Danio rerio: one gene and its partner. The protein of the gene in region 1 interacts with the protein of each later gene in a pairwise test. Links are inferred from orthologs where the notes say so. Each region holds a gene or a part of one and is shown on either strand. Other genes may lie near its edges. The genes, in order: ptpn11b and gab2.

Region 1 (4,451 bases):
GGTTGGATAAGCGAACAAGAAAAATTCTTCCACATTACATTCTCTTTTGCCTGTCACAGGCTGATAATGAATTAAATGTGGAGAAACATCTTCAGCAGGGAAATTTATTAGCCACCGTTATGCAAATAAACCTCTTGTAAACAAAAACAAAAAAGCATTTGTAAATGTAATCTATGTAAATCTGAAATGAAAATAATGCTTAGTTTCCTGTTTCCATAGCATTAACGCAAAACAGATCCCTGTCACTTTTGCACATAAAACATATTCATCCTCCATTATGTCCTGTTAAATCAGACCAGATTTCATACAGTACAGATCTCTACAAAAAGAAATACCAAGATTCACCTACTTTTTTGCTTTAATATGAATTTTCCCCCTTCATGCAACTCCAAAGATGGTCACTCTATCACAGCATGAAAACATATGGAATGAAGGTATGGTATCTGAGCCTTAGAACCTGCCTAACATCTCTACTCTGCATTATTAGAGAAAAAAAGTTGTGTTTATAATAATACATGGTGACAGAGTTAACATATTTGAGTGAACTATTCTTTTAATGTTATTGAGAAGGACACCAGTAATGATAATCTAATGATGCTAATAATAGTCAATGGTAATTGTTGGCGGCAGAATTATTTATATAACAGATGATGCAAAGACTGAGTAAAGGCCAAAGGCTCACAGACTATTACTCTGACAAATGAAAGCTGGTGGAGAAGCTACTGTACCACCAGCACCGAATCTTGAAATATGATGTTGATGTAAAGTAACAGTCTTTTCCCATTTTCACCCAAGGCCACCTGTGCAAACTCTGACAATAACTGATCTGCGTGCTTCAGCTTTTTGTGCAGATGCAATAAACTTGTCAATATCTCCATTTATGTTTAGATTTGACCTTTTAGAAATAAAAAGGCCTATGTATAATCATATGTCCAACTTTTGGAAACAAATCAGGTCACCGCACTTGACTTACATCACAGTGCTTTAAACGGACAGTTCTTTGAAAACCGAAAGTTGGCATAATTTACTCACCTTCACTTATTCTAAAGTTTCTTTCTTCTGTTGAACACAAAATAAGATATTTTGAAGAGTGCTGGAAACCAGTTACAATTGATGTCATCCTCCATAGTAAGAAAAACAAATACAATAGAAGACGTCATCAATGGTTACAAGGTTTCATTTTGCTTCAAAATATCTTAATTCGTTTTCAACAGAATAAAAAACTCATAAAGGTTTTGGCCACTTGGGTGTGAGTAAAATGTAGGCCTACATTTTCATTTGCTGGTAAACTATCCCTTTTAATGAGTCTCTTAGACACACACTAAAAGTTGAACCTTGGCTAAATTTAAAACCAAGATGTTTAGCAACATGCAACCAGTTACAAAATTCCTCAAGGCTTACCTGGCTAAATATTCATTTGTTGAAATTTACAAGTCCTCTGTTTTATCTCCATGTTTAGATTTGACCTTTTAGAATTAAATAGGCCCATTAAGAATCATTTGGCCAACTTTTGGAAACAAATCAGATCACTGCACTTGACTCACGGTGCTTTAAATGAACAGCTTCACTTGTTCTAAGTCTGTTCTAAGCCACAAAATAAGATATTTTGAAGAAAACTATTGTTGTCCTCCATAGTAGAAAAAACAAATAACATAGAGTACAACATCAATGGTTACAATTGCTTGCTTCAAAATATCTTCAACAGAATAAAGAAACTAAAGATTTGGACCACGTGAGTGTGAGGAAATTGTAGGCCTACATTTTCATTTGCTGGTGAACTATCACTTTAAGATTGGTGTAAAGTTGGTTTTATATACACACATTCAGACTTTCTCCTAAATAATATAATTTTAGAGAGGAATTATTTGCAAATTCTAATTATGAAATCATATTAGCAGCCAATGTCTATCAAGGTATAGCTAATGTTGTTTTGAAGTCAAATTTACATGTGATTTTAGACCAAATATTCAAAGTGAAAATATAAGGACCATGTCACAAGTTGTCACAGAAGAATGTGCAAACTTCAGTTAAGTTAGACACACACTAAAGTTTAAAGCCTGGCTAAATTTAAAACCGAGAGGTTTAGCAACATGCAACCAGTTACAAAATTCCTCAAGGCTTACCTGGCTAAATATTCATACTCTCCCTGTTTGAAATACGTTGTTTAACGTAAAGAGACGTTTTGTGTTTGAGATGAGCAGCTTTACATGGAGACTCTTATTTTTGAAATAGGTCATTGCTGTCCAATCAAATGTAGCTATTGTGTATGAAATGGTCCCAACCCAGAAACACATTGCTACAAATTAGAAATTTTACAAGATCACCCACTGTAAATATTTTAAATTAGAAAAAATATTCATAATTCTGTCTAAAGATATTTTAAGCGATGCTTATAACTTTCAACAAGGCTATTTTTATTAATATCATTATTTTCCTCAAATCTATTTCATCTAGCTTTAAAGTGTTTTAAAACTGTTATTTCAGCACACGATGTACAGTTACATTAGGATGTCGTTACCATAAGTCTCCGAATAAACTGGCACAGTAAACTAATTAAGCACAGTTTAAACTGCATGCAAGACACACTGTTACAGTGACTTTGCGCTGCTGATATTCATATTCGATATCCGGTAGCGAAAGCGTTTGTAAACAACCGAAATAAACGGAAAGATAGACTACACGATATTTATAAACACTGCACAAAAGCGAACACACATACTGTAACGTTACATATATTGGGCCAGATCGAGAGGATCAGAAACCGAGTCCTACAGACTGAGCTGCGTGTCGTGCTCGATTCATTCATACAGTTACAGTCACCATCACTACCCGCTCCTGCACTTATTAATGTAGCCTTCGGCTTACCTTCGAGACGTCATGGCCGTCCTGAGAGCTGTCAGATGTGTGTGTGCGTGCGTGTGTGTGCGTGCGTGTTTGTGTGTGTGTGAGCACCGCTAGGACTGGAGGGGAAAGTGTAATAAAACGGTCCTCCTTCGCCGAGTCACTGCAGCGGAGCGGAGCGCGATCGAGGGGCGTCACACACAGACTCACAGCGCCGGACTCGCGCTCTCTCCCTCCGCCTCCCGCTCTCCGATTCACACTGCTGACAGCACACTGGAAAAACTTCATCCAGACATCTCCAAAAAGTCAGGTATTATAAAGCTCGTGCTCGTTCTTGGGACATTGTGACAGGATTAGTTGGAGAATGAAGCCAGCAGGCAGCCACCAGTTGACACCGTGATTCCTTTTACTGGCTCTACTCCTCAGAATGGGATGATGGGATTTGCAATCCAGTTTGTTTATAATTACAAATGAGCTGCAGGCCTAAAGTCATATCATACACCTAAATACTATGTGTATTTAAATCATATAGGCTATAAGAGATTATTCTGCAAACAAACAAACAAACAAACAAACAAACAAAAAACAATACTGCTAAATGGACACATTTTAATTAGATTAAAGAAGCTATAATGTTTCTCCAGTGGTTCTTTGGAGTAGTAAAACTTCTGTGTATGACTAAAAGTGTTTGTTTTCTGGCTTGTAATCATAAAGGAACCACCTAATGTTATTTATTGTTTTACAATACATTAACCACCCCAAAAAACCAATAGAAAACCATTACAGTTCTTTATAGTTTATCACCTAAATTGGGTCTCCTACTGTATGATTACAAGGCAAAGAACCACTGTAGAGCCTTTTTTTAAAGCATTATACTTGTAATAATATAGAGTTTGTATTAATTATATAGAATGATAATCCAGGAAAGAAATGCATAATATTGATGAATCTTTTAAATATATATTTTGTACTTTATTTATTTATTTATATTATTGCCTTATATATGCATTTTTAGTATTAATAAAACCCTATCAAGGACCAATATCTGCCAAGAAGACAAATAATGAAAACATAAAATATTCCAAACTGTTTTTATTTGATATTATATAATTGTTTAGGATCGATTGTCACTTTACTGTCTGACTTTTTAAAACTACGAGAACATTTTCACCAATTTCTTTGGTTAAATTGTGTTCCTGACAGCCCTCTAAGCAAATTTAGATTTAAAAAAAAAAAGTTTAATGCTAATCTTTGGACAAACAGTTGCAATGCCAGTTAAACGGTTAAATTTCCAAAGTGCACCTCAGAGAGGGTTGTGATGAAGTGATGTACATTCTATATATTCACTTCTGTCACTCCAGTCATCATCACACTCTTATTTTAGCAGTTCTTTCCATGTACAGTAGTTATCACCTCTATTTCATTTCCAGAGATGTTTATTAATAATCTATTAATAAAGCTGCAATGCTCTTATTTTAAGTAGGGGAGAAAAGCCCAGTGTGTTTTTTCAGCAGTTTCCATTTGGGTCTCACCCAGTTTTGCGTCGGGGTGATTTGAAGGTGGCATCAGTGTCAGGCTAGCATGACGTCACCCGCCTGCGGGAGATTAAT
Region 2 (3,826 bases), on another chromosome or scaffold:
TTACGTCTTTGATAGTTCATGTGATTGTCACTCACGTGCACGAGCACTGATTTGCCTCGGATTTCAGGCATTTGACGGCGATTTCTCAAAACCTGTCGACGGGCCAAAATCAGGGCTAAAATCACGCAGTTTGAACTAGGCATAAGAGTAAGTTGCGTTCCGCCATGACGCATTTGCTATTTGTATGACGGATTTTGTAAGTGGAGAAACTGAACACTTCAATATTGAGAAAACAGTTAAACAGACCATCTGCAGCACGAGGATGAGCATCTTGTTCACTTTAACCTCTTTTCATCTTGTCTTGTCTCCTGTGTCTTGCTCATTTTAACAGTTTAATTCTCTCAAATTTGTCTCCTTGTTTTTGGTCTTGCTTAATACATGTTTTTTTCCTCTCATGTTGTTTTTGTTTTTTGACAAACCTGCCATTTTAAAACAGAAAACCCAGAGTTTCGTTCATTTACCCTTTTCCCATTTTTATTTCTCTTCTCATCTCTATTTCTCCACATTTTTAATCTAGTCTCTCCTTTAATCGGTTTCTTTAAATCCTGACATCACATTTGGTCTTAAGCTCACCTGGTCTCACTTAGTTTCCTCTCATATCTCCTTTTTTATTTTGGTTTCACTTCTAATCTTGTCATCTCTCGTCTCACATTTGGTTTAATCTTGTCTATGTTGGTTTCATGTGTTCTTTTTTTGCAGATTGTGTCATTTCTCACACTTGTCTCACATTACCTCTATTTTTTCCATCACGTGTCATGTTACCTTTCATATCTTCTCATTCTTTCTCCTCCTTATTTATTCTCTTTTTTATGTGCATCTTTCAGTTTACTATCATCCTTGTCTTTCCTTTTGTTCCCATTTCCACCCATATTCTCTTGTCTCTCTCATCTTGTCTCTTCATCTCTAATTCTCCTTTATTAGTGTTATGTTTTTGCAGAGTTCTCTCAGACGTTTGTCACTCTTTTCCCATTCTACAAAAGCTAATCCTGACCCCTCGGCTCTCTTTCCTTCTCATTTTTTTTTTCTTCTAAATGTACACATCTGATTTGAAACTGAGAGGCAATCTGGTCAAGGTTTACTCTGCTCTGCTACGAGGCTAATGAAATTCAAGCCATGCAGGCAGACCCAGAATGGCTTGTTCCGGCCTGATAAGCTGCAAGGGGGGAAAAAAATGAGCAGACACAATTCAGTGATTTCCTAGTGGTTTGTGTTCAGCAAGGCCAGACTAGTGTGTCTACAGGAACAGGAAGTGACCTTTTGACCATCCTTGCCTGATTCCCACACCTGCGTTTGGTGGCCATGTTCTCAAATAAAGCAGAATTTATAAAGGAACAGAAGAGTGGTCTGATATCTGATGGCTTTTCTTAGATTACTTTGTACCTCAGGCTTATTACTTGGTGGATTTATTTCTACATTTTCTTGCTCCTCTGTTTCAGGATCCTCGTTTGAAACCAGCAGTCACCAGAGGCCAGTCTATTTTAACAACTCTGGTCAGTCGGTGGAGTCTGTAAACGATGGATTCAGTTCTTACCTGGTAAAGCAGCTTTCTAGAACAATTGCATGACACATTTTCAAGGTCTATAAATGCTAACTTTTGAAAACGCTCTGTATTACATTCAGCATTTAGGCAAGGACTTGGAAAACAAAATACAAGACTGTTTGTGCAGACAAATCATCTTGCATGAATAATACAGCCAATACAGTTATTTTAACAGATACTGTAGATGTAAACTGGGACAAAACCTCAAAAATGTGAAGACTCTTTGTTGTGTAAACACATTATTATAATTAATTTGAAGAAAATGGTGCCATTTGAATGACAACGCCAACCTAATTTCACCAAGTAGACATCGGGGTTGATCCTGGAACGACATTTCAATCAGCCAATTAGAATTAAGGCATATGTTTACCGTTTATGTTATGTCCAGGCTCATGGTTAGGTTTTTGCACTTCTACATGATTGTTATAACTAATATTCCCATCTGACCTTAGGAGTAATTTACACTTATGGTTAGGTTAAGGGGTAGGGATTAGGTATGGATTGCATTTTCCAACAAACATGATGTTCCAGGATCAACATACTCACCGGCCACTTTATTAGGTACACCTGTCCAACTGCTTGCTAACACACATTTTTAATCAGCCAATCACATGGCAGCAACGCAATGCATTTAGTCATGTAGACATGGTCAAGACGATCTGCTGCAGTTCAATCCATGCATCAGATTGGGGAGGAAAACTGATTTAAGTGACTTTGAATAAGGGCATGGTTGTTGGTGCCAGACTGGCTGGTCTGAGTATTTCACTGCTGATCTACTGGGATTTTCATGCACAACCATCTCTAAGGTTTACAGAGAATGCTTGTTAAAAGAGAAAATATCCAGTGAGCGGTAGTTCTGTGGGTGCAAATGCCTTGTTGATGCCAGCGGAGAACGGCCAGACTGGTTTGAAAGGCAACAGTATCTCACATAACCACTCGTTACAACCGAGGTATGCAGAAGAGCATTTCTGAATGCACAACAAGTCCTTAAGGCGGATGGGCTACAGCAGCAGAAGACCACACCAGATGAACATGTCAGTTCACTATTCTCAAATCGCTTCCACAGTCACCAGAACCCAATCCAATAGAGCACTTTTGGGATGTGGTGGAACAGGAGATTTGCATCATGGATGTGCAGCTGACAAATCTACAGCAACTGTGTAATGCTATCATGTCAATATGGAGCAAAATCTCTGAGGAATATTTCCAGTAGCTTGTTGAATCTGTGCCACTATGGATTAAGGCAGGTCTGAAGACAAAATGTAGTCCAACCCGGTACTAGTAAGGTGTACCTAATAAAGTGGCCGGTGAGTGTAGATTTTAATCCAGAATCGCATCATACTGGGCAAAATTATGAAATGCTGTATGATAACATCTGAACTTGTAAGAAATCAACTTTAGCAGCATAAACCCAAGTGGGTATTTTTTGAAGTTGAATGTTAAAAGGTCAGAAGAAAATGATCTAATAGCTTTACAAATATAATTGTAACAGAGCACATTTTTCACGGTAAGTGCTTTGTGCAGTGTAATAAATTTAATTATACATGTGTGATTCTTTCTCTTTTTTTACATTTCTTTAGACACCATAATTGGCACAAAAAGATTTTGTTTATTATATTTTATTTTACAATTAACTTTAAATATAAAGAATCACATCTATAGTGTGTAAGTACAGATCACCAGTAATTAAGTTCAGTGTCCTGTTAATTATAGCTCTAGTAAGTCATAAAGACACAAATGACACCATTTCCTGATAATGACCTCATAACTCACAAAGTCACAAACTGACAATAACAAGTCTATTCAAAGTACGCAGGAACAAATGGTGTGTGTCACAGTGGTTTCCACCACTGATCTGGAAACTGTGTAAGCTGGATTGTTCTTCTTTCTTTTACAGAGAACTAAAGCCCCATTGACCCGCTCTGATAGTGCCGGCTCTGATGATAACTATGTACCCATGAATCCCGGCTCGTCCTCCTCCCCTCTCAGTGCTGCCCTGGCTGACAGTCCCAAAAATAACTATATTCCCATGAGCCCAGGTCCTCACCATTTTGATTTCCCAGGTTTCTCGGCAACATTACCAGCCAGGAAGGGTAGTACAGCATCATTGTGTCTCCGACCGGGGCGTCTCAGCGACGTCACACCACCACCAATCAACCGCAACCTGAAACCAAGGACAGGTGAGCACTGGCAAAACTACTCGTGTTTGTCTTCTGTAACTTTAATAACGTTTGGTAAAATGCTAAAATGTGTATCTTTTAAAACATAAAAGATTGTTTAACTTTG

The links.
Region 2: the proteins of ptpn11b (region 1) and gab2 interact in binary tests that used the Homo sapiens proteins (3 or more experiments, as listed by UniProt). The link is inferred for Danio rerio from reciprocal best matches to the Homo sapiens genes PTPN11 and GAB2.

The regions. Positions count from the first base shown.
Region 1 is NC_133198.1:26,857,190-26,861,640, reverse strand, and holds the start of ptpn11b (tyrosine-protein phosphatase non-receptor type 11b), read right to left. Parts: upstream 3,035-4,451; 5' UTR 2,880-3,034; coding exon 2,866-2,879; intron 1-2,865. UniProt on the Homo sapiens protein: Acts downstream of various receptor and cytoplasmic protein tyrosine kinases to participate in the signal transduction from the cell surface to the nucleus. Positively regulates MAPK signal transduction pathway. Dephosphorylates GAB1, ARHGAP35 and EGFR.
Region 2 is NC_133190.1:10,638,633-10,642,458, reverse strand, and holds part of gab2 (GRB2-associated-binding protein 2), read left to right. Parts: exon of another isoform or gene 1-1,436; coding exon 1,437-1,534; intron 1,535-3,437; coding exon 3,438-3,720; intron 3,721-3,826. UniProt on the Homo sapiens protein: Adapter protein which acts downstream of several membrane receptors including cytokine, antigen, hormone, cell matrix and growth factor receptors to regulate multiple signaling pathways.